Lepisosteus oculatus: one gene and its partners. The protein of the gene in region 1 purifies or fractionates together with the protein of each later gene. This does not show direct contact. Links are inferred from orthologs where the notes say so. Each region holds a gene or a part of one and is shown in the gene's direction. Other genes may lie near its edges.

What was found.
Region 2: the proteins of fbxo10 (region 1) and pde6d purify together in Homo sapiens (affinity purification with mass spectrometry; 3 studies listed by BioGRID and IntAct, with this or other methods). This does not show direct contact. The link is inferred for Lepisosteus oculatus from reciprocal best matches to the Homo sapiens genes FBXO10 and PDE6D.
Region 3: the proteins of fbxo10 (region 1) and acsl4a purify together in Homo sapiens (affinity purification with western blotting; 3 studies listed by BioGRID, with this or other methods). This does not show direct contact. The link is inferred for Lepisosteus oculatus from reciprocal best matches to the Homo sapiens genes FBXO10 and ACSL4.

Annotation. Positions count from the first base shown.
Region 1 is NC_090696.1:67,257,265-67,267,976, reverse strand, and holds the start of fbxo10 (F-box only protein 10), read left to right. Parts: upstream 1-6,518; 5' UTR 6,519-6,594; intron 6,595-7,320; exon of another isoform or gene 7,321-7,638; 5' UTR 7,639-7,780; intron 7,781-10,712. Other genes in the region: tomm5 (mitochondrial import receptor subunit TOM5 homolog), read left to right, coding at 275-395, 2,342-2,376. UniProt on the Homo sapiens protein: Substrate-recognition component of the SCF (SKP1-CUL1-F-box protein)-type E3 ubiquitin ligase complex. Mediates the ubiquitination and degradation of BCL2, an antiapoptotic protein, thereby playing a role in apoptosis by controlling the stability of BCL2.
Region 2 is NC_090708.1:1,880,186-1,891,251, forward strand, and holds the start of pde6d (retinal rod rhodopsin-sensitive cGMP 3',5'-cyclic phosphodiesterase subunit delta), read left to right. Parts: upstream 1-6,609; 5' UTR 6,610-6,840; coding exon 6,841-6,890; intron 6,891-11,066. UniProt on the Homo sapiens protein: Promotes the release of prenylated target proteins from cellular membranes. Modulates the activity of prenylated or palmitoylated Ras family members by regulating their subcellular location.
Region 3 is NC_090703.1:41,092,394-41,102,485, forward strand, and holds the start of acsl4a (long-chain-fatty-acid--CoA ligase 4), read left to right. Parts: upstream 1-5,991; 5' UTR 5,992-6,078; intron 6,079-10,092. Other genes in the region: pin4 (peptidyl-prolyl cis-trans isomerase NIMA-interacting 4), read left to right, coding at 585-655, 1,026-1,145, 3,515-3,673. UniProt on the Homo sapiens protein: Catalyzes the conversion of long-chain fatty acids to their active form acyl-CoA for both synthesis of cellular lipids, and degradation via beta-oxidation. Preferentially activates arachidonate and eicosapentaenoate as substrates.

The DNA of each region.
Region 1 (10,712 bases):
TCGGAATCCTACAATAAAAAATAAAAACTATAATTATGAACAGCATTGAATTCTAATAACACAATTAGTAACACAAACACTGTACATAAAGTTCCTCTACAGCGCTGATTCGCCCTCGTTTCGTTCCGTGCAGTTTGTCTTTCCTCGCACACCGTATCACGTGTTAACCTCGATGAGGTCAGAGAGAGGGCGAGGGTCAAACTAGCACGTTTGCCGGAAAGACAGGATTCGTGCGTTTGCTGTGGTCAAGTGTAGCCTGATTGCAAGCTCCGTAATGTTTAAAATTGAAGGCCTGGGTCCCAAAATGGACCCCGAGGAGATGAAGAAGAAAATGAGGGAAGACGTGATCACGTCAGTGAGGAATTTTCTGATCTACGTAGCGTTGCTCAGAGTCAGTGAGTATCATTGCTCCTCGTCGGGTTTCAAGGCATCGTGTCCTTGCCTTAGTTCTTGTCATTCACTTCTGGTCATCTTTAGAAGATATCCTGCAAATGATGGAGATATACGGGGGCGGAACTGCTGAATATTTTAACGAGAGCGAGTTTTGTGTTCAGTACGCCGCTTTCTTTAAAACAAAAACATTTTTTTCTCGTTTCAAGGTGAAAAGAATTGATACATATGGTAAAAATTCTAATTAATTTCCCAGAATAACTATGTTCTAGAGTAGTCGTATTATGTGTAGGGAAACAACTACAGAGCTACTAGCTCTCGCCTTCATTTTATTCCAGGTCCTGACAGTAGGGGGAAGTGTTTAAAAGCCCTTGGCGTGTCTTGTTAGGAAATCTCTGCATACACCTGGTCTATAACGCTATGATAACATTCCTGTTTAAAATATTATAGTGATTTTATTCAAAGCTTAATCTGTTACAGTCTTGTGCACCCAAATGAAGTGCAAAACTTTAAACATGATTGGTTTCAATTAAACCTTGTTTTAACAAATTTTAAATTGTCTTTGGCAATACTAGATTGTTCCAGCCTTTAGAGTGGCACATGGTGTTGAAGCTCATTTTTGTGTTTCGTATTAGAATGGTTAACTGTTTGACAGTGAACAGTGGTTGTAGTTTTTTGGCCAATATATCACCCTGCAGCTCACAATTGGCAGCCCACTGAAGCTCAGCAGGTGTGGGCCTGGCCAGTACTTCCTGGATGGGAGATTCCTGGAAAGGCTGAGGTTGCTGCTGGAAGAAGTGTTAGTGGGGCCAGTAGGGAGCGCTCACCCTGCGATCTGTGTGGGTCCTAATGCTGCAGTATAGTGATGGGGACAATATGCTGAAAACAAAGTCACTGTTCTTTGGAGGAGACGTAAAACCAAGCTCACCCTGTGGTTTGTGTGGGTCCTAATGCCCAATCGAAGTGTTGGGGACACTGTACTGTAAAAAAGGTGCTTTCCTTTGGATAAAATGTAAAATAGAGCTCCTGTCTTTCTGTGGTCATTAAAAATCCCAGGGTGTTTCTTGAAATGAGTAGGGGGTAACAACCCCAGTGTCCTGGCCAAATTTCCCCCTGGCCTTTACCAATCATGGCTTCCTGATGGTCCCCATCTGTGAACTGGCTTCATCACTCTGTTTTCCTCCCCACTGATAGCTGATGTGTGGTGAGTGTATGTTGGTGCACTATGACTGCCATCACATCATCAAGAGTAGTTTATTGGCATATGTGCATGTACATTGGATTTCTTAATCGCGCTGATCTGCCAGGACATACACAGTAGAACAGACAACACACCACGCAATGTTGGCAATAGGAACAATAAATATGTTGTGGAAAAATAAATAAATATGTACTAGTGAGACCAGAAACAAATGGTAGACTATGTAAAAACTGCGTAGTGCAGATGTGTATTAAGGTACTGCAGTTAGCTGTTGAGGATGCGCACTGCAGTGGGATAGAAGCTGTTCTAGAGTCTAGTGGTCCTTGCTTTAACAGTGCGGTACCGATTCCCTGAGGGCAGGGGAGAGAACAGCTTGTGGCTGGGATGGCTGTCTTTCTGAATGATGGATTGGGCTTTATTGCGACTTGCGAATCTCACCGATTGATAGTAAAGGTGGATGCTGCACATTGGTGGTGGTGGAGGGGTCCCCATTACCTTTAAAACGCTTTGAGTGGAGTCTCCAGCCAAGCACTATATAAGTGTAAGGAATTATCAATACACTGATAAGTAGCTCCAGCAGTTTCTGACAGTCGTTGTGGGCTGTGAGAAGACTGTTGAAGGGTGCCGGCAATCGATTACTCTCATGATGTGAGTTTCAGTTCTGAATTGCACACTGAGGAACTTTCCTCAGCTCTTTCCATGTTTTTCAAACGAGTGCTAGCCTTGACCCATCCCCCTCTGCCTTCCCAGCGCCCTACGTCCTGAAGAAACTGGATAGCATCTGAAGAGTCTCGCTCTCCCGCCTGCGGAGGTCTTTCCCTGCGGCAGCTCAAGACAACAGCGCGGAGCCTCTGCTGGACCGGGAACATGTCGGCAATGCTGCCAGAGATCACCAGGACTGCTCAGTCCTTGGCTTGGGCTACACATCTGGTTCTGCCCTCTATCGTCACCTCATTGTTTAAAGGCTGCGATACCCATCATGTGTATGAATGGATCTCAACACTGTGCAACTCTCACAACACTGCAGGACTTGTGTGCTGATTTTATGTATTCTTGTTAATACAGGTCAATTACCCAATGATGTGTAACCCTTTAAAAATATTTCCCCATCTCGCGTACGAGTGAAATATAACAGAACAGCATGAGTTTTTTTTTTAATTTGGGTTTTTTTTTTAAGGAGGGGTGAATCCAGCATCCTTTTCTTTGGGATAGCTTTTGTTTGTTTTAAAACCTCCTGCGCGGTGGCGTTATTTGACCGTAACGCCATTCCCATGAAGTGTAGTGTGAGTATTTGTGTCGGCCGATTCTGACGGCGAAGGGGACGTGATTCCAGCCCTCGCCTGATGCAGCAATTTTAAATTCCACTCACTGCACCACAAGTCAAAATAAAAATGGTTCTTACGATTGCTGCTGTTCATTTGTTGTAATTCTTTAGTTCAGAATCAACCTTTAATATTACAAATACACCCAAAATGTGAAAGTAACTATTAATACTCAGTTATTACATAATTTTTTACACACAGAATCTAAACCCTCTCAATACATGCGGAGGAGTTTAATATCAATGTATTTGTACTACTGAACTTTCTCTTTAATTGCAGTGATTCTCTGTGTAGAATCACTTCTGATTATTATTATTAGATGTTTTTCTACTTTAAGAAGACTGGAGTTGCTCTTAAGAGGAAGATTTTTTTTTTTCTTATAAAATATACTTTATTCCGGAAAAAAACACATCTCAAAAGGAAAACATCTCATACAATAACACTCCACAAGTTAAAACAACGGCGGAACGGCGGTGATTGTCCGTTTTCAATCCTTGCAAGGGTCTTAAGAGGAAGATAATCACTTTATTAGCCCTATACAATTTCTTGCAATTGGATTTCATCTTTTCGCATACCCCAGCTTGTTCTCCATTAGACACAGAGACAGGGAGAGAGAAGCTTGGGGTCAGAGCACAGGATCAGCCATTGTACAGCGCCCCTGGAGCAGTTGGGTTTAAGGGCCTTGCTCAAGGGCCCAACAGAGTAGGATTCCTCTGCCAGCCACAGGAACTGAACTGGTTACCTTCCAGCCACAGGCACAGATCCTTAGCCACAGAGCCACCACTCCGCCCCCTCGGTTTTTAACTTTTGGTAGAGTCATGGTTCCTCTTAGCTGATTAACTGTAGCTAATCCTAGGAACCACTACTTAATCTAATTACATTGCACTGGTGTTTCTACTGGAGGTGACTAAAGCCACCTGTATAAAACCCTCAGTATCCATTAGTTAGGTCTGTTATGATTGAACAGGGATTATGTGTTTTAATTAAAAATCACTGAGTAATTCCTGAGCATGTGTTCCTCAAGCAGAGGAATCAGTCTTGAAGTTCCAGATGGTTTCTGGTTTTTCTTTCCCCCTGAGCCCTAAATTACCTCATTTGAGCTCTTTATTGTCTTAAAATGATTTTCCTTGTTCATGAGAAGCTGGAGATTTAGAAAAAGGTGCTGAACAATGGCTCTTGAAATCCAGGTGTTAGTGGGGCCAGCAGGGGGCGTTCACCCTGTGGTCTGTGTGGGTCCTAATGCCCCATTATAGTGACGGGGACACTATACTGTAAAAAGGTGTTGCCTTCGGACATAAAACCTAGATCCTGACTCTCTGTGGTCATTAAAAATCCCAGGGTGTTTCTCGAAAAGAGTAGGGGTGTAACCCTGGCATCCTGGCCAAATTTCCCATTGGCCCTTACTAATCATGGCCTCTTAATAATCCCCATCTATGAATTGGCTTCATCACTCTGTCCTCCTCCCCACTGATAGCTGATGTGTAGTGAGTATACTGGTGCACTATGGCTGCCGTTGCATCATCCAGGTGGGGCTGCACATTGGTGGTGGTGGAGGGGATCCCCATTACCTGGAAAGCGCTTTGAGTGGAGTGTCCAGAAAAGTGCTATATAAAGTAAGCAATTATTATTATAAAGGGAAGTTATTACTCTCTAGCTGTTATGTGTGTCTGGATCAAACTACCTGTGGATGTGAACTCTGATGGAACCCCAAGGAATGGGTGAGATGAGATTTACTTGGTGCACACTGCCTTCAAGTCACGACTGATGTTTCCTAGAGTAGATCAGGGGATCGTCATGTTGTATCAACTGTAAGCCTACTCACATAAAAATATATATTTTTATTGATATAGCATACAATACAATTTTTGGCAACTCAAAGTGCTTGTTACAAAATATTAAGTTAAAACAAGCAACAATAACAAATGTGAGAACCATGTGCAAACAGTACAAATAGCCCTGAAATTATACAAGAAAAATCAAGTAAAAGCAAGAGTAAAAAAAATATGTTTTGAGCTGCCGTTTAAAAATATCCACAGAGCCAGCCTCTCTAATGTTTTTAGGAAATATTCAACTATTCCACAGTTTGGATGCGTAGTAGCAAAAGGCTGCCTCTCCAGTCATCCTATGCTTAATTTCTGGAATAATCTTTAAAAATCGTGCGCTTGTTGCACTGACCTTGATGGGATTTACAGTACGTACAGCTTCATCCATTACTTGTTTGAGCTCGGGGGGCTTGTCTATGAATCATACAAAGCGGACGGAGCAATGACCTGTACTTTCGTGACTAGCCCGCTGTGTTTGCCAGTCATAACTCGTTCACCGTCTGAGCAGATTCCCACACACGTGTTCCAGTCAATTTCATGCCCACGGACAAAACGAAAAGTTGATCGCCAGTGACACGCTCGGGAAGAGGACGACTTAACAATAAATCCTCATTAATGTCTCCCCTTTTCAACAAATCTGGCGTAAACAAGCATTGGTGCATCTCCGGAGACATCAGTGGTCTCGCCAGGTTGTAAAGAACAATACACACTAGATTTGATCTTAGCGATCACCTGCTCTTCCGCGTCTCTTGCCATACGCCCAGTGCGGTTAGACACGGTATAATTTCACTCTGGTATCACTGCTAGCTGCTCTGCAGCGCTTTTCCCCACACATGATTGAAACCGTTTCCTTAGCGCACGGTAAGAAAAACGTCTCACCTAACGTGTGTGGCTTCCCAGTTTTGGCAATCCAGTTAGCTATGACGAAAGACGCCTGAAGTGCCTTGTGGTTCACAGTGGTGGCTTTTGGAGGTTAGATTGTTGGCCTCTTAGCTCCTGTAGCTTTCGTTCAAAAAAAAAACTCAACAGGTTTAGACTGCAAGGTCGAGTGTCTGGTCTGCAAGTGGCATAGCAATTTGGAGGGGCTTGAGACTTTCCTTTCCACAAACCACACATAGCAGTCGTGCAACCTCTCCATCACTTGTCTGTGTAAATCCGTCCTTTAGGTACCTTTCGTCGTATTTTCTCGTTTTCTTCGTTTTTTTTTCCTGTTCGGAGTTTTCTGCTGTTTCTCCACATTCGTGTGTTTCTCCACATTATCTTAAGCTTTCATTCTTCCAGTGCCACCTATTAAAAAACGCTCCATTGCTAGGCTTATCACGACTATCTTGCGCAAAAGAAAAAAAAAGAAATTAATGTAGAACAGAGCAGGCTGGGAGTTGTAGCCGGGAGATGGTCTATGGGCTCGCAGAGTGACCACTGCTAATGAAAATAGTCTAAACTATTTGTTGGTGTATATACTGGAATAGTTAATTGTGAACCTCTTTTATTGTCCTTTGATGTTTAACCATCCTGAAAATGCGTACGTGTCCCGTTTACCGCCCTAGTGTGTGCGTTAACCTTTGGTTAATTCTGTGCGTTGCCTATTGCGCGACCCTCAGGTTAAGAACTCCAGAATTATAATAATAATTATTATAATTTAATAATAACTGCTTACACTTATATCGCGTTTTTCTGGACACTCCACTCAAAGCGCTTTACAGGTAATGGGGTCTCCTCTCCACCACCACCAATGTGCAGCCCCACCTGGGTGATGCGACAGCAGCCATAGTGCGCCAGACTCATCAACTATCAGTGGGGAGGAGAGCAGAGTAATGAACCCAATTCATAGATGGGGATTATAAGGAGGCCATGAATGGTAAGGGCCGATGGTAAATTTAGCCAGGACGCCGGGGTAACACCCCTACTCTTTTCGAGAAACGCCCTGGGATTTTTTTAATGACCACAGAGAGTCAGGACCTCGGTTTTACGTCTCAACCGAAGGACGGCGCCTGTTTACAGTAATACTGGGGCATTAGGACCCACATGGACCGCAGGGTGAGCGCCCCCTGCTGGCCCCACTAACACCTCTTCCAGCAGCAACCTTAGTTTTTCCCAGGAGGTCTCCCATCCAGGTACTGACCAGGCTGACTGTTGAGATAAAGACGCTCCTCCGATTCACTCTGCAATGCCGAGGCTTGTAGTAACTTCCCACATTTCCAGAGTAAAAGTGCACAGCACGCATTGAGTAGTTCTGCCGCGCAGCTCCAATTGCAGGGCTTGGTTTTATGTCTCACTGTTATCCTAGAAAAGATCATTTGAGTATTGTTCATACATGTAAAAATACAAATCTTGACGCATGTCTTACAGTCTGCAGGCGGATGGCGTCAATTGCTTGTTAAAATGATTAGAAATGACATCAACAAAAGCCGAGTCCTTATTTTTTTTGGTCTGCGGACTCCAGCAGGACAGTCGGGGATGTTCTCTCCGACTGGTGGAGCCGGAGCTCACTGCCCTATCCTGTCTGCTGCCTCGTCCCTGTTGCCAGGAGGCTGCGAGGGCAGTTAAAGCAGGAGAGATTGACGTAGGCTGTGCTAAACCCAGCCCCACGCATCCTCCTGCGTTGTGCTGCTGCAGTCTCGGCTCGCTGCTAGCGCAAGAAGAGCTGCAGCCTCGTATCACTTTTCGCAGATGCACAGCTGCGGGAACTACGGCGTCTGCCGAGATACTGTAACAACAAACACCAGCCGCTGCACAATGTCGGAGTTTATGCATTGATCCAGGCGGCCAGACGGTAACAGTTTAGCGGCACCGCCAGCAAATTCCTGTTTCGGTCTCTGGGGGCCGTAACACTACAGAAGGGAGATCAGCACACATTTATTTTTTTTATTGCCAACCACCACCTCGTCTCCCCGCTTTCCAGAGCTTGAGAACGGAGGACGAAGAAAGGATTTCAGCCTCCCCGGGTGTCTTCAAATCTGTTTATGCAAGCAGTTGGTCGGGGAGGGTCCGAAAACATTTTTTAAGCAACTATGTGTCGGCCGCGTTGAGCTGAAACTGGGGAGGTAAGGGGTTATATAATTCAGTGTGTGTTGTCGAACGAGTCCCCTAGTCAGATCCCCAGCCATCTCGATTCCTAGAAACACGTTTCAGAACGTTTGATCGCTTCATCGTCAGGACAGATGTTTATTTTTTAATACGGTTATTTTAGAACTGTGTTTCTAATGCGCTAGGACTTGTAACAACGTATGCAATACAATGTTTTTTATTTTTAAAACAGGATTTATGTTTCCAGATCTGTCATTTTTATTTTCAGTTTAAATCGAATTGCACTGTGCAGTATAGTACTTGTAGTATCTAGCATTAAGATTAAGGTATGTACTTGTTGCGTGGCGTGCAACAAGGAGCTTGATGTCTTCGTTTAAAAAAACTCTAAAGAGTTTATACGGCGTTGTATTCGGACATTTCTTGTGCAAAGTCCTTAGGCTGAAGCAAGTGGACTAAGAGACCGCGTTGCTCTTTCCACAAGATACCAAGACATCCGAACACCGCACACTTTGGCGTTTTTAATGAGAGTCACTTTTGCTGTGGTTTTATCTTAAAGAAATTGCACGGTCAGTTCAATCGTGTGATTGGCTCTTGATGACAACCAGAGTAACTTCAGTCACTCAGCTTTCCCCTCTCTACTTGACGATATCATGTATATTTTCTGTAAGGTGGGTCTTATTTAGAAAGGACATTTACTTGGAGAGAATATAGCTGCAATCAAGCAAAAAAAAAATAAGGGCCTGTTCTTTACAGAAGTTATGATAAGTCCTAGATTTAGTTTAGATTTAGGACTGAGAGACAGCCAACGTGGATGAACTTTGTTACAAAGAGGAACATGCTTTTCACATCTCTCATTGTGCATGAAAGATGTCTGAGACTGTTAAGCCCAGTAAATAATATACCTGCTTTAGTGAATGTTCAATTCTATATGGACTCAGCTGTTCACCTTTATTTGTTGTCACTCTTAGGAGTTGGAGAGGGAGAGGAGCATCTACAATAAACCCATTCAATTGGTTTATTTACTCGGTTTGTGCAGTTTACACTTTATGTAGATCGGGCAGTGCGTGATGAAATATTTAAACGATCCCTGATCACATCATGAAGGAGTGTAGAATGATGGCAGGAGAAGACTTGAAGTCTGTTGTCTGCAGAGGGTGCTGATAATAAACAGTGTTGGAATTGGGGTCGCAAGAGAGGTTTCCCAAGAGGGAAAAGCCATTCAGTCTGCCTAATGTAGACTGTTTGGGTGCTAGTAGCTGGTTGAGCAGAGGTCTTGCCAGGGGCAGTGTCAGCTACAGCACCAGAGTGGGGTCATGTGTTCCAGAATTCCCACAACCCTTTGTGAAAAGCGGTGGATGCTGTTTTTCACTTTTAAATACAATTCATCTTATTCAGGCTGTCGTCTTCATATTTCCCTTACAATTCCTGCCCTCTGTTGAGGATGTTGAACTACAAGTGGAAGAGGGGAATGGATAGCTGTCAATTCCAAGGTCCAATGAAAAATGACTGTTGTGCTGTATTTCATAGCTACTGTAGAAATTACACCCCGGGAAATTTTAGTGTTTTATGTTGTGTAGCTGGTATTTTCTACAATGTGTTTGCACGAGGAACATTTTTGGGGCTCATCTGTTGAGTCGTTTCTTACATTTCACAGTTCAAATAAGAGCATGCACAGCAGGGGAAGTTTTTCATTGTAGTGTGTACCGTGCGCAAGTGGCAACAGCTGTAAAGATGCGCACAGAAATCGCTGGCCTGAGACGGGGTTATGTCACGAGCTGATTGTGACAGGCGTTGCGGAGACGTTGGTGCGCAGTTTGGCGAGTCACCGTGATGAATAAATCGACACGACGGCGGGCACCGACGAGTTGACAGGGTGCTGGAGAGAGCTGGTCAGCACCAGTACCGCTGCTGGCACTGTGTGATCAGGATGAAGTGTTGGACTGCCCCAACTGCTTGCTTCAGAGCAATGGCCAAGCTGGTCACAGGAGTTCAAAGTAAGGCATGGAGACATAAAAATAAAGATGATTTATGGTTCTAAAGTTCTTTTCTTAAAGCAATGCACTTGGGTTCATTTTTATTCTCTGAGGTCCATGTGACATTTTATTTTATTTGCTTCACAGTTTGAACAAGGTGCTTTTTAGAGCATGCATACTGGAACTGTTTCTCCACCACCCAGTGCAATTTGTTAGTACACAGTGAAATACATGTACACTCATGCAGTGCAGTATACGATTCTTTCTCTATTCAGTATTGAAATCACTACACTAACTTCCATGAGGTGTTATTGCCTAGTGGCAGTCATTGCACTTGCCCTGCCATTTCTTCCTGTTTCCTGAGCAGAGCATTATGGATCTTGTAGTCTTGTTTGTTTGTTGTGCATGGAATAGACCATTAAAGCAGTTTCATAGCATTGATGAAAACCGCCCACATGTGAAAAGCTCATATTTGTTGGATTCTCTTGATTTTCCTTTGGATTCTCAAGCAAGAAAAAGAAGACAGGCGTTTTCTGTAGTTGAGAAACATAAGGAATAAGAGTTTTTTTGTTGTTTTTTTGTTTTCTAGTGTCACCTCTTAGCATGTACAGGTTTCTAATGTTAGTTCAATGTGTAATAAAAAGTTTATCTGCTTGTAATTTAATAGGAAGTGCAATTTGTGGAGAAAAAAAAAGATTAGTCATCTTGGTTTGCCATGAAATGGAGCATTTCATCTAGTTCTTTAGTCAGTTTATTGTAAAAGTGTTTTGTGTAATATAGGTAAACTTACAAGAGTTACTGAATATGCAGATGAATGAGTAATTAAAGTCATTGGCCTCATGTTTTTTTCTATTCCTGTAAAGAATGTGCCCTGTATTTAAAAGTATATTTTTAATTCTATCCATTTAATGTGTTTAGCAAAATGAAGACTGAAAATTCTTTGTAGGAAATTGTAGTCTAATTGTCCTGCTATTTC
Region 2 (11,066 bases), on another chromosome or scaffold:
CCGGACTAGTCGGCGTGCGCCAACCCCGCTGGTGCCCCCAGGGCAGAGCGTGAGGGCGGGGAGCGCTGGCAATGGGTCGCCTGAACAGCCAAGCGCTTCTCCCCCGTTGGAAAACCTTCCCGAGGTGGGATGAGCTCTGCTTCAGATCTTGTCTACAGGGTTACACAACAGCACAAGAACCGTGAATTGGGGATGATACAATAAATCCCTGACACTTTGTTTCCTCTGGCTTCGAAAAAAGAAACAGGCCGGTTCCTGGCTGAAACCGAAGCAGAGGAGGACATAGGATCACCACTAGGAGGCTGAACCCGTAACAACAAGAGTGATTCGAGCAGGAGGCAGGCAGGGGGGTCCAGTGCTGCTCCTGCTCCACCCCACTCCACCTCAGCTCTTCGTGGCCTGAACCAGCTGGAGACTTGCTCAATTGGACCCAATTGCACTGCTCCTTCTCCTCGGGTTCTGCAGGTTTAAAGACTCCTCCGGGTTCAGGACTTGACACCCCTGGCGTAGGGAAATTGGGGTCTGTGAAATACGACTTTGGAAATAGTTGTTTGTTTATTAAGAGCCACTCTGCGCTCCCTCCTTCAGACCTCCTTTCACCTGTCCGTTACTGAGTCGAGTAATTGAATGTTGTTAATTAGCAAGTGCAGGTATCATCTCCTAGGCTACCACATAACGAGAAAGGGGGCCTTTTAGGTAAATGGATGCTGTTTGCAATAAAAATGATATGGCCTCTTTTTAAATTAAAGACAGTCACAGCACTCTAAGTGTGTGCTGTAAGGTACTTCTTTAAATCAAGCTGAATGGATCACAGCTCAGACGGTGTTTTATCTCCCCCTTGTGGCCCGCTCACGTCATTACAACACCCGGCTGTTCTGCGTTTTCCTGTCGCTTCTTGTTGAAAAGACGGGTTTTGTTTCCCGCGACTCTCCTCGGTAGGCAGGACGTGATGTAACACGATTATTAATTTCTCTCACTGGACTCTAAAAACGTGAGATTTATATAATATAGAAAGGAATACAAAATATTGAAAACCTTTAGGGGGCACGTGTCAGTTACTGGTGAAAAAGCAAAGCACTAGGAGTCGGATTTCCGCTTTTTACAGTCAAACTTCGCTCCTTGGACTATAAGGCGGCTCTAGAGCGGTCAGTGAGAGAGAAACCACAGCGCTCTTCTTCCTCGCAGCGTTGCGTGAGATTTGTACCACAAGGGGGCGCTGTGCGCCGTTATCGGAATGAACAGGCTGCAGCGCCGTGACACAACGCAGTTTAAAAATCACCTGAGACACAGAATGATCATTTAAAGTTCCTTACACGTATAGAGCGCTTTTCCAGTAATGGGGATCCCCTCCCCCACCACCAGTGTCCACCCCAGCTCTCAGTGTGGAGGAGAGCAGAGTGATGAAGCCAGTTCAGAGATGGGGGTTATTAGGAGCCCATGACTGGTAAAGGCCAGGGGGAAATTTGGCCAGGACGCTGGGGGTAACACCCCTACTCTTTTTGAGGAACGCCCTGGGATTTGTAATGACCACAGAGAGTCAGGACCTCGGTTTTACGTCTCATCCAAGGGACCTTTTTACAGTACAGTGTCCCCATCACTATGCTGGTGCATTAGGACCCACCCAGACCGCAGGGTGAGCGCCCCCTATTGGACCCACTAACACGCAGGAGTCTCCCATCCAGATACTGACCAGGCTCACACTGCTGAGCTCCAGTGGGCTGCCAGCTGGGAGCTGCAGGGTGACAGAGCAGTGTTACACTGTATTTGCATTATTCTATATGTAGTTAGCGTTAATGTTAATACTTATAATAGCAGTAGTAACAGTGTCAGAATCAGCAGGTGTGCTAACAACAGCACTCACGGTGGCACCATTAATAGTATTCATCTGGCTGAAACCTTGAACCAGGACAATGCACGAAAGTTACAATTGTTGACCCTCACTAACAGATTCAATAGTCAGTTTCACAGCAGGCAGCACGCACAGTAGCTACACTGCGCAGTAAATTGATTTCCGGTGCTGCTTTTATAGCAACACATACAGTAAACTATAGTAAATCAGAGAAATCAGAAGACATCATCACTGGAGTCGGTATGTTCTCACTGACAGACATGCGACAGTATTCTGTTCTCTGCTGCCAATCACACGGTGGTCTTCTTTCCAGACGTGGGTTTTATAACTAAGGGCTTGGGAGTGAAGAGAGATCTCAGCTCGTTCGTGTCCGCACTCGCCAGCCTTCAGGTACAAAGTGCAATAATACCTCGTGAGGCACAGACCCATTTAATTAGCTGCCTCTAATTTAAAATCCACAGCCTAACAGTCTAAGAAAAAATAACTCGTTGCATTAAAAACTACAAGTCCACAATATCAGGGACCCAAGGTTTTTTTTTTTGTTATTTTCCCTGATAAATGTTTTGCGTGTCAGACGCTGACACAATATCTCTCTGCTGCTCAGAAAGAGCGGCGCTTGTCAGCGCTGCGGTGAGGGCGGGCGGCCTCTCTCCCGGCTCCCACCGGCCCACGCGTGACTCGCACCACAGCGCCTCCTGAAAGTCTCGACCTCTCTTTTCCCGCTGCCACGTGTTCGCCGGTCCACACAGATGAAACCGTTTCTGCACAGGTATTTAGCACGACTCTGCACGGAGGGAGTCTCTGCTTGAAAGGCTTACGGGAGGAAGGATGTCTACCCGTTATGCCTACCGGCATGACGGCGCAGCAACATCCCTCTGCTGTTACTGTAACATTAGTTTTTCAGAGCAAACATTAGAGCAAACTTCGTTACTTCCTTCCTATTTTTAACGCACACCAGCGATACGTCGGGAAATTAAACAAAAGGGAAAAACGCGATTTCTGCAAAGGAATCAGAGCAGGTTTACTAGAATATGCGAGACGACTGTTGGGGAAGAACTCGGTTCACCCGATTGAAAGTCTGTTCTGCAGTGAGAAGCCAGGCTCAGGAGTGTGCATCAGCAGGCAGTCTCTGCAGGAAGCCCTGCAGCGCCCCCCTGTGGCGTCCTGCACAGGGCCAGGATGACACACTGGGCGCATCGCTGTCCCTGCAGCGGGAGGGCTGGGGCTCCTGCTGCACAGCAGCTTGAGCTCATGAAAGTTTAACTTTGCCGCAGGCATGTCAGACGCCAGTTACTGCATTGTGGACAGACTTTCTGTGTGCTTGTCTTCTTCTTTGGCTTAGCAGGTGTGCCCCAGTATAGTGACGGGGACACTATACTGTAAACAGGTGCTGTCCTTCGGATGAGATGTAAAACTGCAGTCCTGACTCTCTGTGGTCATTAAAAATCCCAGGGCACTTCTTGTAAAGAATAGGTGTGTAACCCCGGCGTCCTGGCCAAATTTCCCATTGGCCCTTACCAATCAGGGGCTCCTAATAATCCCCCTCTCTGAACTGGCTTCATCACTCTGCTCTCCTCCCCACTGAGAGCTGGTGTGTGGGGAGCGTTCTGGCGCACTATGGCTGCCGTCACATCATCCAGGTGGGGCTGCACACTGGTGGTGGTGGAGGGGATCCCCATTACCTGTAAAGCGCTTTGAGTGGAGTGTCCAGAAAAGCGCTATATAAGTGTAAGCAATTATTATTATTATTATTATTATTATTATTATTATTATTATTATTAATAATAATAATCAGTAGTGCTTCCCCCTGCCACAAACCCAAGAACGCCACTCGGCCCGTCTAGTTCATCCAGCATCCATTTCTTGAGAGGACCCAGGGTACCGGCTTCAGCACTACGACTGGGGGTCTTGTTCCACACTCCCACACCCCTCTGTGTAGAGAAGTACCTCCTGTTCTCTTCCCTCGAGTGTCACTTTTCATTCTGAAAACCTTCCACTGGGTGGACCTGGCCGATTCCCAGAACTGGGAATACTCTGTAATGTTTAGGTTATTCTGAAGCCCCCCTCTGCTGGGATGGTAGCCTGTCTGCGTCTCTGTTGGGTATTTGCTGGAGGTCACGTCCTCATTACCATCAGCTGAGGAGCTCCAGCTTGCCTATGTGTCCTAATCTACAGAGACCTACAGAGACCAGAGACGTCTTCCGTAAGCAACGTCGACTACCAGAGCCTTGCAAAAGCTCTCTCCTGAGACTTTTATTGATTTATTTGTTTTATTTTCTTCCTCCTTGTGTTTTGGATTTGTTCCCTTTAGTTGTTTTTTGTTTTGATTTACAGTTGTCACACAGGTCGGGTCCCCAGAAGATTTCCCTTTCGTGTTTTTTTGTGTTTTCGGTTCTATTTCGGTTTTATTTTTGACGGGACCAGAGCGTTTATGTGGGACTAGTTATTTTTACTTACCCTACTAACACTGTACCTGCCATTGTTAATATTAAACTATGATTATTTTTGAAGGCTCTAGCGCTGTCTGCTTGTGTTTTTATTGCGGCTGATTGTTAGTCACAACAGGCTCACCTTCCATCCCTGGGCTCTCAGTCTTTGTATCAGGTTCCCTCAGAGTCTCTTCTGTTCAAGATTAAACAGCTGTAACTTCAGCTGTAACTGTGGGCTGGTCCAGTCTCCATAAGCTACAGAATCTCCTGGCTTCACCTAGACAATTTAATTACTTAATGGGATCTATAAACTCTTCTCCAGGAGTCTACAGTGTGTTTCTTATGAGAATGTTGCTGTTCAGTTTGCCAGGGCTGAGAACCTCTGGATAGGACAGCAGAAGACCCCAGAACCCTGAACCCTGACCTCTGGCATCTGATTGGTTCAATTACGCGAGTTACGCTTCCAATTCTTCGTTTTTTTTCTGTTGGCCGCCTGTAAACTCACTGTGTGAGGTGACACCTGACCCAGGTCTGCTGCTACCTGCACCAGGTGTGTCTGTGTGACCGTCGCGGTTCCGTGCGGGGTCGTGCCCTCCGCCGCCCGTTCCGTCCCGCAACACCTGGGGCTCAAACCCGGGTCTCCGGCGTAACACAACAGAGAAGCAGCCGCATGAGCTAAAGGAGACCTCCCCCAGCCCAGCCGGCTGAGGTCCCTGCTACGCGCAGGGAGGGCGATGAGTCACCGTGCCCGAACTCGCTCCGCTACATCTGTGCCAACAGTCCTGCCTCCAAACCGACATTCTGTCCCACAGCGAGGCATGATGGGGGAAAGGCCAGGGCTGCTACTGCTTTACGGTCCTGTGCAGGCACTGGGCAGGATGGGCCGACACTCTCCGAAGTTTAGGTAAGAAGCGCAGGAAGGCTCTATCTACGGGCCCCGTGCTGAGCAGGAGCAGGTGAAGGTCTATTCCACGCTGAGAGGAAAAGAAAAGGGATGCTGTGGAGCCTTCTTCAGGTGTGTGCTCCTCCAGGTTGTTCCTGTGCAGTCTGCACATGCTGGCGCAGCTCCCTACTTGAACTCTCTACTGGACCGTCCTGTGTCACAGAACAACAGTGTGTTCGTCCCCGGGTCTGATGCTGCAAGGCCTGAGTCCAGACCAGGAAAGATGAATATACAGCATATCTTCATACCTGGCAGGGCAATGACACCCTGGTCTTTAGAGTTCAGAGTTTTTATATATTTTATTTCAGAAGCTTAGAACATTGTAACAAAGCAAACAAAAGTTAAGAAACAACGTACAAACAAAAACACAATAAAAACAAAACAAAACAAAACAGACAGACAGTGAACAAAAGGCTCAGACTTTTTACAGTTCTCTTGCCAAGATAAGTCTAAAGTTTCTACCTCGGATTTGATCACTTTGTTTGGAGTTCAGCAGCAGAACTCCGAAGGCACCAGCTGACAGACCTTGTGCCGTCACTCATAAACCGCGGTGCTCTTCTCGTGCTCTAGGGGCGATGAGAAATCGAGCACCAGACGCCCTTCTGGAGCCCTGCTGGAGTTTGTTCCTGCTAGATCCTATTCCCTCCTGTATCTGAAACAGCTCTATCAAGCAGTTCAAGCAGGAAGCCTTCTTCAGGTGTGAGAAAGACAGGGCAGACAGCAAAGATTAAAAAGCACAGGAGAACAAAAGCTGGGAGAGGGGAGAGGCAGAGAGGCCACTCTGGAAGTGCACAGTGTCTCAAGTTGTCTCTTCCTGGGACTCTCCAGCAGTTCAGCTGCTTCTCGTTTTCCACAAGCCCTCAGACAAAGAGAGATGGAGGACTTTATTGTGAGTAAAATTGAAACAATTCTAAAATTACTCGCAGGTTTATATGGTGTGGTTTGTTTATGAATTAAAACAGTGTTTTAGCTAGACAGATACTTTATGAATCCCGTGAGGGAAATTGCAGAAATTGTATTCAACTTACATACCATTTTAGTGACCACCCACAGATGGTGGTACTCTATCTAAAAACACAGAATATCGCCTTGCCCGTGTGTTCTCCATAACATAGACCTCTTCCAGCAATGAAATTACAACACAAGGATAGAGAGGGGATCCACTTTATTAGCTACAGTTAGTGTGCAGGACCCAGGAGGATGAGCTGAAACGCCAAACGAACTTTGTCTCCTACACGTTGCCATACAGCCGTAGCTAGGTGACGTCACGTTGCTGAGGGTTGCCATCGGTGACGATTCTCGCCTCAAACCAAAGCCCCTCCCCCTCACCGGACCTCTCCGCACGGATTGGTTCATTTTGTGCCCGCCCCCTGTTTTCCGCCATCCGTGCGGGCGGATCAGCTGTCACTCACCCACAATCTATTTAGGCTAGGTTGATTAAGGGATCAGAGAGAGTGCTGCTGTCGAGATTAAAAACGGCACCTATTGGCCTTATACGTGTAACCGCTGCCGTTTTATTCATTTTCCGCCGCGAGTTAAAAGTGCAGCGGCGACATCATTTAGCTGTTTGCTTGTAGCCGTCTTCCCGCCGGACGAGGGACTTGTCGATTTCCAGGAACATGTCTTCACACGAAGACAGAGCCAAAGAGATTCTCAAAGGATTCAAACTGTATCCTTTCGCTCAGGGATGCTGTCTGCATTGAGCTGATTATTTTTTTTTGCCGGGGTGGGGGGGAGATTAAGATCTCACCTGGTGTGCAGAAAACAAGACCAAGGGCTTAGTTTTGATGCCAGGGGCAGCTCAGAAACGCAACGATGCGCGTTTCGCCCGTGTCTTGGGACGGGTGCTGGTGGGGCTCGCCTCCTAATATTTTGCGCGATTTCATGCACCTGGGTGTCCTGTTAGGGGGGTGGAAAAACGCGATTTGGGGGCTTAAACAACCGTCTGGCGTCTCTCCTGGTGATCATCGTGATCGGGGGAGAGGCGTTATGCTGGTGGTCGTGTCTGTAGCGCGGCTCCGCGTCCCGGCTGCTGGTTTCACAGATCGGGAGACGTGTGTGTGTGTGTTTGCCGTTGTTGTGCGCTGCTAGATCTAATACCGTCCGTAAAAACGTGACTGGTTTGATTTTTTTTCTCTCCATTGTCGGGCTGAGAAAGGGGCCCCGTGTCCCCCCAGGCCGCGGAGTGATGGGCACCGTCCGGCGCTGCTCTGACAGGAAAGTAGGCGGCACGTTTTGTTGTTGTCGGTGTGTGTGTTGTGAGTGCCGGACGCTGGCTGCTGGTCAGCGGGTGAGTCCGGTCCTGTCGTTATCCTCAACCGGCTCCCGGGCGCCGCAGCTTTCGCGATGAAACCGAGTGAACTTCGGTAGCCCGGGTTCTGCCTCTGCTGCAGACCTGCACAGCAGTGGGAGTTTGTTTTGTTTTTGTTTTTTGTTTTTTTGTTTTTCTGCTTGTGCACCGTTTCCCCCCCCCAATCCGCAGTCAGCCGGCCTCCAGCCCCTCACTGGGCTGACCTGCACCTGTACCCTGCGGGGGGGAGCTGGTGAAACCCCTCCAGTCTGGAGAGCGTGTGTGTGTGTGTGTGTGTGTGAGTGAGGCTCTTGGTGTCTTGTGATTAGCTTCCACATTGATTTCTTTTTGTTGTTGTTGTTGTTGTTGTTGTTGTCCTCCCGCCGCTGTAACAAGTGTTTCGTTAGCCCCTCGGTCCGCGGGAGCCGTCCCGATCCCGGATCTGGTGCGCCTCTCCCCCTCCAGCCCCCTGTCGGCCGCCTTCCTGCTGATGGGGGCTGGGGACTGACAGCTGGCCGCCTCGCAGGACACGGGCCGCCGCAGGTGGTGCCTTTGGCATCAGCAGGGCTCGGGTGGAGGGGGGGCGCACGGAGCAGTCTGGCCGCTGGCTCCCCCCGGGGTGCGGCGCGCAGGAGCTGGCGGCTGGCGCGTCCTGGCCGTCAGGGCCTGGTTATGCGTGTGACCTTCCCGGGGGAGACGCTGCAATCCCGGGCCGGTAATTCTTAAATCCTTGGTTTGCAAGGGCAGGGATTTGGAGAGCTGCAGCAGGAAGCGCCCCCGCTTGTCACTGCGCTGGGTGCAATCCCGTGCAGAGCTTTTCTTTTCCAGAGCGTCTTTCTCTTTTCCCCAGAGAGCCTCGGCCGGGCCGACGTCGACGTGCCCGTCCTGGGGAGGGGGAGCGGCTCTGCCTGCGGGGCAGTGCCACTCGTGAGGGCCCCGAAGGGCCCGCTCTGTCTCTCCGAGAGCTGTCGAAAATGTTTGGCTTGAAGCAGAGCTTGGGGGGGAGGAGGGGAAGCATTTGTGTTCTCGAACTCTGGGAGACCGGGGAGAAATCGGACTCTGAAAGTCCGGCGGTATCGAAAGGAAGGGGAGCATCGGGTCCTTTTCGTCTCCGCTGACCCGGCGCCGCTGATGAAGCGTCTTTTCTGGACACAGGCGGCCACCGGCAGCGTGTCGGAGCCTGCTTCTCTCTGAGCTCTGGGTTGGGTCTCTGTGCTCCGTAACGGCTACTGCCTCCTGCTGGCACTTGGTCTTTCAGGGCCCTTCACTGTGCTCGTCACTGGCGTGCAGGAGCTCAAGAAGTCGACACTGATGGCTTTAACTGCGGCCTGGCCGTATCGTATCTGTGCCACCTGCTGTGCTTGGTTACCTCTACTGGTGCCGTTTTTGTTCTTGAAGTTCGGAGAAGGCTCAGGCCTTAGTCAAAATTCTCGGTATTCTAGGAAGTAAGATGTTACCTTGCTGCATCGTGGGAGACTTTTCCTCTCGGAATCTGATCTCATCCCAGCTAACAGGAGCAGCACTATGACAAGGGATGCAATGTACTGTGGGTCAATTTGAGGGTTGAAGAATAATAGGGCTCACATGAGGCTCAGCTGGGAGAGAATCCTGGCTTCTGCTCAGTACCAGCTACACCATCAAATTAGTATGCCGGAGTGTTTCTTGGGTGGTTGTTTTACTGTGAAGTTGGAAAGATGGTATTAGACATCTAGTCTCTGTCAAGGAATATCAATGTTCATGTAACTGTGCAGAGTTTGGTGTTGAGAGGTTTTAGTTGGGTATCATCATGTACCAGTCTAATTGTTTTCCAGTCATTGCATAATGCTCCATTAATGTTTGGAATATTTTTTTAATACTCTGTATAGTTTAGTTAGTAAGAGAGGTTTTCTTCTAATGTGTTAGTGAGGAAAGTTAATGGATGCATTTGTAGAATATTGTATTGTGGCCGGCCTTGAGATAATGTTCAGGGATCTCCTATTGAGTTGTTTTGTCTGCTGTTGTTGAAGGAGTCTGTAGGGTCACTATAGTGCATCTTTGCACCAAGGCCTCTAAGTTTCCGTGAACATGAACACAGCCTCCCCCTTACAGTCACCTCTGTTTCCCCTCTGATTTTCTTGTAACAGCAGTTTACCATTAGAAAGGCCTGGCAAACCTCATTGGCTCCGTGTGTCTGTGACTGACTCTCCCTGGAGCTTGGCTGGCTCTCCGTGTGTCTGTGACTGGCCCTCCCTGGAGCTTGGCTGGCTCTCTGTGTGTCTTTGGACTGGCTCCGTGTGTCTGTGACTGACTCTCCCAGGAGCTTGGCTGGCTCTCCGTGTGTCTGTGGACTGGCTCTCCGTGTGTCTGTGGACTGGCTCTCCCTGGAGCTTGGCTGGCTCTCCGTGTGTCTGTGGCTGGCTCTGACTTCTGACCAGAGCATTAGGAGCGAATGTGTGCAAGAGGCAAGGTGTGTTCTGCAGGTTCTGTTTTCGGGCAGTTGAAGTTTCTGTTTCTAAGGAGGTGCTCCTTGGCCCTGCTGCACCTCCTCTCTTCAGCAGTGGCCCCAGCTTGTCCTGCGGTGTTCAGGGCAGGCAGCCCGAGTCCTGTTCTGGGGGTCTCGCCGTCTTGTGGTGCTTTATCAGCTCTTATTTACCATGTGTTGGCTTGGTGAGTGTCGCCTCCATCACTTTGGAGAAGCGTGATTGTCACAAAATTACAGCCTGTACCCCAGTCTTCAAGGGGCCAGCACATTTTGTACACTGAATTAACATGGCTAAGAAATATACTGTAGCATGGCATGGACATTCAAACATTGCAGCAGTCTCCTGCAGGTCTAAGAGCTTCTCCAAGTTCAGTAATGCAGGATGGCTTGCTGTGTGTGTTTGTGCCAGCCTTGGTCGGGAGGAGTCGGGGTGAGAAAGGCGAGAGGAGATGAGAGGAGGCCCGTTTGGCTGTTACTACAGAAGCCAGTGGCTAATAGATTTAAGGCTCATCCATTGCTTCTTGCGAGAAGCCAGGGTATCAGCTTCAACAGCATGGCCGGACTGCTTTTCCCAAGTCCCATTGCCAGCAGGGTCACGCCTCTGCTGTTCTTGGCGTTCTTGATATCGTTCCCACCGGCGTTCTCTGCTGCATGTTTCACTGTTGATTCTGCAGACGCCTGCTGCGTTGACTTTGACTGTTTTGAGTCGGGTCCCGTATATTCTTCACTGTTCGAAGCTAAAATGCCTGAGCTCTGAATATACGCCTGTCGGGGTATATCCCCTGATGTCCCACAGTGAATCCGGTTACTCTTCCCTGGATTGATTCCAGACCAACACTGTCAGAACTTGGGTGGAAAACTAGAAGTGCAAGAGGCATCTGGTTTGTCCACTCCATATCCCTTATCCAGAACTGTTCCTGGATGGCCAGCTGTAACCCGTGCCTTAGGCCTCAGGTGGAGACGTGTGCACCTGTGAGCAAGCTTTTAATCCCATCTGCTGCTTGAGAGAAGAGTCTGGGCGGTGGCTCAGATCACAGTGGTCTCCCAGTTCGGAGGAGTCTTCTGCTAAGGAACTGCATCGTTTTGGATTGTGC
Region 3 (10,092 bases), on another chromosome or scaffold:
ATCAAACTGTTAAATTCCCAGCCTCTCTCACTCTCACTCTCACCTCACCTCTCACCTATGATCTGAACCTCAACAGTGCCTTCTTCCTTTCTTTCTTACCAAAAACCCAAACACACATTGAAAATCTACCTCTACCATACATGTCAAAAGCACACTCCCCATAATTTCTATCCCTTTATTTTATTCTGTTGATGCATATTTTTGCACATAACCTGTTAACTTTTTGTTGTTTTGCACATTGCCTGTTGTTGTTTTTTGCACATTGCCTGTTGTTGGTTTTTGCACACTGCCTGTTGTCTCTGTCTTTCTTTTGCAACACAATTGTATTGTTGTTGTTTTTTTTTCTCTTTGTACTACTTATGTCCGAGAGCTAGCTAAATAGCATTTCGTTATACCATATACCATGTATATGAGTATAATGACAATAAACTTGAACTTGAACTTTGTTACTGTTTTTGTTGTTTTAACTCTTTTCTGTACTTTTCCTGTAAAAAATCACTGTGAGAAGATGCCTTTAAAGTGCTATATAAATAGTTGTTTTTTTTACCACTGTATCTGTGCTGGTGTCTTTCTGCCATGTTTAGGAGCTGGCGCTTCTGGAGGTGGTGACTCTGAGAAAAAAGAAAAGCCGCAAAAAGGGGGAAATGCAGTTAAGGTACAGTGGCACCGTTGAACTTTGTGTCAGACATTTGTAAAGTTTTTCATCTCCAGTGGGGCATTAAAATGGACTATTATAACTCGGTGTTTACCTCCCTAGCGTCAAATTGCCAAAAAGCATCCAACTTTGTTAACAATGGAATGCTTCAAGAATAATCTTATGATTATGAAATCTTGTGCAACGTTGAATAAATATGTTACGAAACACTTCATGGGATCTTGTGATAGTGTTTTCAGATGTTTGTATTGGGAAAGCCGATTGGCAGTATAATACCAAAAAGAATTCCCTTTCTGTACTTTTCTAAAGTTTACTGTAGTTTGCATGTTGATCCCCTCTCTCACACACACACACTTATAATTTATTTCAGGTCCGACATATTCTTTGTGAAAAACACAGCAAATCAATGGAGGCCATGGAAAAACTGAAGTCTGGGGTGCGGTTCAGTGAAGTCGCCTCACAATACAGTGAAGACAAAGCGAGACAAGGAGTAAGTGAGAAATGCATCTAGATGAGACGGGCTAAAACAAATGACAGATTAGAATACCTGTAGACAGCAACAGAGTTCCAGATTTTCAAGTTTCAGATTTTTTTTGTACCTGAGTACAATTAAATGCTTACTTTATGTGTGTTTCCACACATAACAGATGGCATCTGAAATTGTTGGAGACCAGAACATAAAAAAAAGCATGTACGCCAAAAAGATAGTGGAAAGCTGCAGTGTAAAATACCAGTAGCAGCCGTATACATGAGAAAAGTAACAACTGTAATTTTCAGCAGCATTCAATTAGTAGTAATATGCAAAAAACAGGTAGTGACAGTGTTGTGAGTTCAGTCCAAAAATAAAGGGGTATAAATGGGAAGTAGGAGAATTAAGGGGTGGTATTAAGAAATCTTATGGCCGAGAAAGACGTTTTCTTTAAAACTTGAGGTTTGGGCTTTTATACTCCTCAATCTTTTGCCACAAGATAGAAGAAATGGCATGCCCAGGGTGGTGTTGATCTTTAATTCTATTATCTGCCATTCTGAGGCAGTGTGTACTGAAGATGGGATGAATGGAGAGGAGTTCCATTCTGTAGCTTTTTTATGGTTGTGTTCTGACCAATTACCATAACAAACTGTAATGCATCTGGTGAACATGCTTTCTCTGTTGTACATTTGTGAGTGATTGTGAAGACATACCAAATCTCCGGAGTTGTCTAAGGAAATAGAGGTGCTGGTGTGCTTTTGTGATTACTTCGTCTGTGTCACGGGACCAAGTCAGATTATTGATGAAGTGAATGCCCAAAAACTTGATGCTGCTGACCATCTCCAAAGCAGCTGTGTTTATATAGTGTGGCCTCCTCTCTGCTTGCCTAACCTAAGAGGATAGAATGCCCTTAGATTATAATAGTATAGAAAGAACAGCACATAGATTATAATCCCTAACTGAAATAATAAAATCACACATACCTTTGCTACTATATGTGAAAGTACCAAATTAATAAATAGTTTTGCAGTCCATGAACATTATATTTAGTAATTTGTTTTATCCCAACCCCTTCTGCACAAAAAAAGTAAGCATGACTAATTAAAGGCTTTATTCACTGCACTTTTTGTAACTGGTCTTTTATTAGTCATTGCCTCTCACCGCCACTATAAGAGTCTAATGCTAACTTCCCTTCAGTGCATGGGAGATGTTAATTTTTTTAAATTAATGTATTGAACATGGCTAATTTAATATGAACCAGATTCGGTACGTTCAAGTCACTTCTCAGAAGTGGGCCAATTCCACCATACACTCTAAAGAAAGAAAGGTGAAGTCAGTTAAATTGAATGGTTCTCAAATTTTGGAACAGTATCTTATTTAGGGTGAAAAACATGTAGATGTAGGAGACCAAGCCATTTCTTCACTGTGGATGAGTAATGGGTGAAATGTTTGGAAGAACCGTAGTGTCAGGTGTTGTGCTGAAATTTGTGTACTGTGAATTTAAGAATCAATATTGAAGCTTTTCATATCCAGTTCTCACTCCAAAAATAATTTCCATTGTGAGCTCTGTTTATTTACAGTGTGGCAGCATTCTCAATACTGGCTGTTCAGATGTGCAATAACCAGCTCTTAGTTTCTTATCCCTTTAGTTGCCTCATTGAAAATGTCTTTGCTTACCTAATATACCTGTACACAACAGTCTGGTAAAAATCATCTTGTAAATTATTATTGGTGAAATTGCAAAAGGAAACAAAAACTGAAAAAAGAAAGCCGTTTTACAAACTACAGATTAAAAAAGTCATACTGATCCCTTTTTGTTGTGAGGATGAAGCAGAGTCTTCACAGAATTCGCTTGGTCTTTCCTATTGATGGGGTTGTATGAGCAGTAAATGTGCAGAGCACATGATGGAATTGAGACTCCCATATACACTAGTAAAAGCTGAATAGACATTGTCCCATTTACATATAGATAAGTGATGTTGTAAATACTGGTTTTTATTCACACTTTTGGTCACTGGATGGTGTATTTTCTCAATTTTATTATCTTCTCAATTGTATACAGTACTACAGTATTTTAGTGTTAAATTTACATGAATAAAAATCTCGTATATTATGGTAAATTATGAATAGCAGTAGCCATTAACATTGTTTCAACGTCTCTATACCTTAGAATCGCTTTCACATAATGTTATGGACACAGTTTATGTTGCTCCTGTATAATTTACATATTCTTGTTTTTTCTTTGTTACATTTTTGGTAGGTACAGTATAATCATGGTCCTGTGTTTGCAGTGCAGATTACTGACAGTTTTCTAAGTTGAGCTTTTTGGTTAGGAATTCTGTCCAGTTGTACAATAAATGCTGAGCTGGTCTTTCCTCTGGGTGTGACAGGGGGACTTGGGCTGGATGACCAGAGGCTCTATGGTTGGGCCTTTTCAAGATGCAGCTTTTGCCCTGCCGGTCAGCACCATGGACAAGCCTGTGTACACAGATCCGCCAGTGAAGACCAAGTTTGGGTATCACATCATCATGGTGGAGGGCAAGAAATAATGCTTCAGGATTTGAAGAATCAAGCTGGGCATCATCCCCTTGTTTTTTAAAACATTATTTATTTTTGGGAGAGGAGTTCAGAACTCATAGAGATACTGCTTGTTTGATGTAGAAATCTTAATACCATCATAAAACTCTCAAGAAGTGGTTACATGCAAGCATCACGATGAGGAAAACGTTCATAGCTGTTAAAAAACACAATCTGCTTTGATTTCATATGCAATTGTAAAACACTTTGGATACATAAAGAAAATGAGTGTGGGTAGGGATTGATTTGGAAAATAAAATCCCAGTAAATTCACTGCTCTTTTCTTGTACCAGATTGATTTTGAATGGGAAAAGGTGACTGTGTTCTTTGTGCATAAAATGGGAGGACTTTTGTGACAAATAAAAATAGTTTTGCACTGCATTTCATATAACAGTAAAAAAAAACAGCTTGTGTAGATTTTCCATGACTTTCTTCGTCCTGTTAAGAAACAACTCCTGGAATGTTTGGGGAAATTTTTTTATATCTATTTTGTATAGTGCTCTCCTTGATGTCTTGAGAGGGCAGCAAGATCAAAACTTGTTTTTGCTTTAGAGTCAAACAGTTTTTTTTTTTACCTTGGGATTAAAATGAAAGAAAAGTACAATGTATGTTTTATTATTGGGTAATTCCATGCATATATTTGATTTATTGGAACAAATACATATGATACCTCAGTTCTGGGGGACCATAAGTAGTGTATGGAGACACATTCACTTTAAGTAAAATTTAGAGTGAAGGTCAGTATTGGATTGCATATTCGTGTTAGTACTTCATTACGAGCAACATCACTTATAACATGTTTAATTATCTTTTATAGTAACATAGAAAAATCAGACATTAGAGGCTACATTTTGATATGATATGACTACATATTCATATTCTGTATTAGTTCTTATGAAATCTGCCTTTTAAGATATTTGAGTATTTTATTAAAGTTATTACTTCTTGGGAACTTTAAAACCTGTTCTGACTTTTTTTGTCAACAACAATATTTTTTTTGTTTTAATGTATCTTTATTGGGATTTTTGCAACAGTAATCTTTTTAAATAAAACATGGACCAGATATATAATATGGTCTAATATATAAATCACTACTTTTTATGGTGTAATGATAGTTTGTGGTGTAATGATAGTTTCCAAGAGAAACATTACTTAATATTGTGCATTAAAGAGAGGCTATTAAATAGTTTTTGTTTTACTACATACTACTTATGCGACGTGCATACTATGGAGGTACGTATTCATAAAGATAAAAGGGAAAGCAGATGTGTCTAACATAATTAATAATTGCTTACACTTATATAGTGCTTTTTCTGGACACTCCACTCAAAGCGCTTTACAGGTAATGGAGACTCCCCTCCACCACCACCACCACCAATGTGCAGCATCCACCTGGATGATGCGATGGCAGCCATAGTGCACCAGAACGCTCACCACACACCAGCTATCAGTGGGGAGGAGAGCAGAGTCAAAGATGTGGATTATTAGGAGGCCATGATTGATAAATCCAATTGGAAATTTGAACAGGGTTACACCCCTACTCTTTTCAAGAAACCCCTGGGATTTTTAATGACCACAAAGAGTCAGGACCTCGGTTTTACATCTCAGCCGAAGGACGGTGTCTGTTTACAGTATAGTGTCCCCGTCACTATACTGGGGCATTAGGACCCACATGGACCACAGGGTGAGCACCCCCTGCTGGCCCCACTAACACCTCTTCCAGCAGCAGCCGTAGTTTTTCCCAGGAGGTCTCCCATCCACGTACTGACCAGGCTCACACTGCTGAGCTTCAGTGGGTTACTAGTTGTGAGTTGCAGAGTGTTAAGGCTGCTGGCTAAACTTAAGCTCCTTATGTGAATTACATAATGGAGGAAGAAATCGAGTTTACGCTTCATACAAAAATGAGCTTCGTCTGATTTTATGGGAGCTCTTGTCTGCTGCATTCTGGCAAACATACGGTTAACTGTGCGTTTGTACCAAGTTTCTCTGCCTTTCATGGATCTGGGTCACTTGCAGAAATAAAGAGATTTTCGTTAATCTTTTAACGTCGTTTTATATTTTATAAGCGCGTGAAGAGAAACAGTTTAGTGAGAGATGAAAAATGAGGTGCAAAAATCCGAGAGCTCTTTTCATGAAAGAAAGCTCCTCCAAAACGCATTTATTCTGCATTTCACGTTACCGCCTCCTGCAATGCTTTAAAAAAAAGGTTAGCGAGGCTCGTTGAAGGTGTGGCCATTATGTCAGCGGCTATTGGCTACAAAAGGATGGAGTCAGATGACGTCCTATTTCCGGGTTTTCTCCGGAAGGTGAGAGGTTACTTTCGGTCAAACATTTCTTCGTTCAGAGAAAGAAGCAGCTCTTGGCCGGCGTGTCACAGGTAAGAATTAAAGCCGGCTGTCACTAACGCTCTCGTTAGTTTTACTACTGTCATGGCTAGTTACTGTGTATTTGCTGTATTAGCCTAATATACCTAACTGTCAACAATATTTAATATATCCGAAAAGCTAAGCGAAAGTTATCTCACGCCTTTACATTAAAAACATCCAGTAGTCCTAACGTGCTTGCCTCATGAGGAAGCAAAACGTGTCCGTAACTGTACTAGTTCCTCTTGTGTGCTGGGACGTGTCTACAGCGAGAACTAACGTGTTTTAGCGATTAGACAGGTAGGTCATATCTTGACTGGCTTTGTGAAATAAATAAAACGAAAGTGATGGGAGCACTTAGTTAAACCCGATTTACCAAAACTAGTTGTATGCGTCTCTCTTAATGTGATTTTCGCTTCCGTGATGTATTTCCATCATTAGCCGCTGCAAGAAGAAAAAGCGCCACGTTAAGAATAACATACCGGAAGCATGATCAGGACCTCGCCTCTGGCAAGAGAAGCGTGACAGTTTCAAAATAATCAATGCTGTCCGCGCAGTAGTCTGAAATTAATAGTTAGACAGGTGATTGTTGTCCACGCATTGTTTTCTAACGCTCATAGCTGTAGATAGCTCTAGGGGATCAGAATACGGTACCCAACAGAAGTGATAGTGTTTGCCCTATAATGTTTTATTCATCTAAACGGTCGTGATGAAAAGGAAATAGATTTTATCGAGAATTGTAAGGAATCGGTAGCTTGATTCGAATTTTTTACGGGTTTTTCTTGGGGAAAAAGGTGACCATTGTTGATTTTAAATGAAATCTTTGGTATGTTAATGAGCGAAGACGATCTGTAAAGACAGTGTTACCAGATAGTTTTACCCTTTATCTTGCGTGCATCAAGTGACACCGGGTCCAGTCTGCGATGTAGGTGATAGCCATATTTGAATCCCTTTTTTTGTGTTCTATAATATAGTCGGATTAGGAATATTGAGTCAAGAAACGTCGCTTTCCTGTCGGTAAACACCGTTTTCCTGTAAAAAGAACCCTTAAAATTAGTTGATTGGAATTTGTTTTATAACGCTTTCGATTAAAAATTAATCTCCTGCGTGAAGTTAATACTTTGCCCTTAGATCTCGGAAAACACACGTCATGTGAAGGTCTATCATGGTACAGTTTGGCAATGCTCTTGTTTTAGATCTAGTTCGACTTCATATAAAGGGGAAACTAATGACTAAAGACAGAAAAGCCTTTCAAAGACCATGCAAACTCTAAGATAAACTGTAAGAGTTTTTTTTAAAAAAAGACAAGTACTACGGCGGCCTGATCAAGCGCCATTAATTTCGAGACGTATGAGACAGCTCTCCTTGTCACAAACCCACCCCCTACGTTTAAATTAAAAGCAGATCAATTTACGAATGACAGTTGCTGTCAGACAGAGCTACCCTATCAGTTGTTAGTTGTTAGCTGAATCCAGCAGCACAGTAATAGAACGAAGACATCCGACGATGTCGTTTCTATAGTGACGATGGGGCGCATGTGGGGTTACCTTATTAAAAATAGAACAGATGGCTCGGAAATATGTTTAACGAGCGGTAGTTAAAACCCTGTTCTTTTTTCAGATTTTTGACATTGTTTTCGTTAATGCTTTTCCAAATGTCAGCGGACCTTTGATATACTATACTCGATAAGAAACAAAAATCATATATCCGTCAGTTTGTATACAATGTATAGTCCCTTACGACTGGCGTTTATTGGAAGCGTTTTACTACTGTTTCTTGCTTTTCTGAGTCGGGAGTCAACGAGTTCATTCCCCCTAGCCACCCACCCCCACAACGAGCTGAGGTTACTTTCGGTTAAGGGTTGCGTGTAAAAAGGGAGGGAGGGAGGGACCTGTGACGTCATGCACGCTTTCGGCTGGTTGGTTCTGGGTGTATGGTGTGTTCGGCGGTGACATTGCTGACGTCAGCGGCAAGACCTCATCTTCCTTTTGGATTTTATTTATTAGGCCAACATCTTCTATTGTTGTAACAGTGGGTTATCAAATAGCTTTTCAAATATCTTGTGACTTTTTCATCACGTTGTTTTGTTGTTGTTGTTTTTTTGTCGTGGACTTCCTAGATTCTTTAATTCTTAGGAGGGTACGAGCTTTCTCAGTATACACGCTAATCTATGCTAATATAATCTCCTTTCTGCTGATTTTACAAATTTTCCCAATTAAACCCATTTGCTTTAAGACCAGGACAGTAACTATGAGGGTTCTGGTCTGTTCATGGGAACAGAAATAATTTCCAACTCATAACTATATTAAAATAATAACATTCATGATAGACCAATGCCACTTACATCATTATAGTAAAACAAATGTAATTATTTTAATTGAATATATGTAGTAGAAAATAGGCATGTTTTTAATAAAAAATAATGCAGACAGGGAGTTGCTATACAGGTACATAAACCTCCTTCATTATCTGTAGCACTTTATTTGTAGGAAATTTAGGGTGATCTAAATATGTTTCTTTTGCATGGTAGTAAAACCTTTGCTGGTAATGTTTTGAACAATCAGCCTTTTAGTGTGTAGTGAGATTCAGGCATCATTGAACAGCATGGATGCAGACTTAGTGCAATCAGTTGTAAACTAGCTAGTAATGTTATTGTTGACCATATAAATCAACAATTAAATAATTTCTGTGGATGTTTCCTGATAAGAGAGCTGCGGGGGAAAAGAGGGTTGCTTTTCGGTCTAGAAAGACTAGCATTGATAATCTGCCTAACGTTTCTGGAGCTGTCTCCTTATTTCCACCTGTTGTGACACAGCAGCTGCTCAGAGTGGTGTGAGCCACGAGCTCCAATATAATTGGCTACTTCAGATAGTACAGTGCTGCAGAGAAATAAGAGATGGTGTGCTATTGATTACTCAGATTACATATGAGACCTTATATTGAAATAGGATGGGATATATTTTCAGACATAGGGATCTGTTCTTGGAGGTGATGGAGTTGCAGTACATTGGCTGTTTTATTGCTCGTTCTGGCTAAGGGAGATAAAAAGATCCCTGCTTAAACTCTAAAGGCACAGTTATGCCCTTGCTGTGCTTTTCCACATATATTTAGGACCCAATGCCTGAATTAAATCATATCTTTAACTTGTCCAGCACTCTCAAATGACAAAACATAGGCTTGATGATGGGCTTGGTTTACCTGAGACGTTTTTTCTTTCTACCAAACAGAAACTGGATTTGTGAATTTGTGATTGCTGGATGGGTCCTAATTATTTAACTTGGGCAAAAGTGTGGGTTACCGTGTTTACTGTAGTCAGCCCCAAAATACTATTACATTTCGTTGACACAATCATGCTGATGCAGTTCCGAGACAGTTTGGAAGTCCTTATGCGTCCTCTCAGAGCCCGTTACAGTAATACCAGACTCCAAACCCTCGATTGATTTTGTTTCTCTATTCAAGACATACATCCTACAAACACATATTCAAGCTTTATTTGGCAAGCGTGGTGCTGTTCCTATTTGACTTAATCGTACACGTTAAATGATGTGCATGATTAAATTGTTAAGTGAGAATGTTTCACAGTCCCTGGAGCAACACAAATTCAAACAAAATCAAAACCAAATATTTCTTCAGTCGTTCTTTGTTCCCTTAACATTGTTACTTGTGTCATATTTGTGTTTTCGAGGGAGTTGATGTGAAATGCAGCTTTCGGCTATAGCCTATATAAAAGTAATGTCATGCACAGACAAATAGCTATCCTTGAATGCGTTTGAAAGTGTAATTTCAGTTTTATCCTACAAAGGGCTGAATACTTAAAGTTGGGTTTAGAAGAGGTGGCTGGGAAAGGGGTTGTAAGGAATCCCACTATAATTTACTTTAAAAGCCTAACCCTTACATTTAAGCATTAAATACATAATCATTGGAAATGTAAGTCTAAATTAGGACTTTTGCAAAAAAAAACAAATTGGAGTAGGTGTGTAGTACAGACAACCTGATATTTTCAAGTTTTCAGTTGACATGTTTGGTGA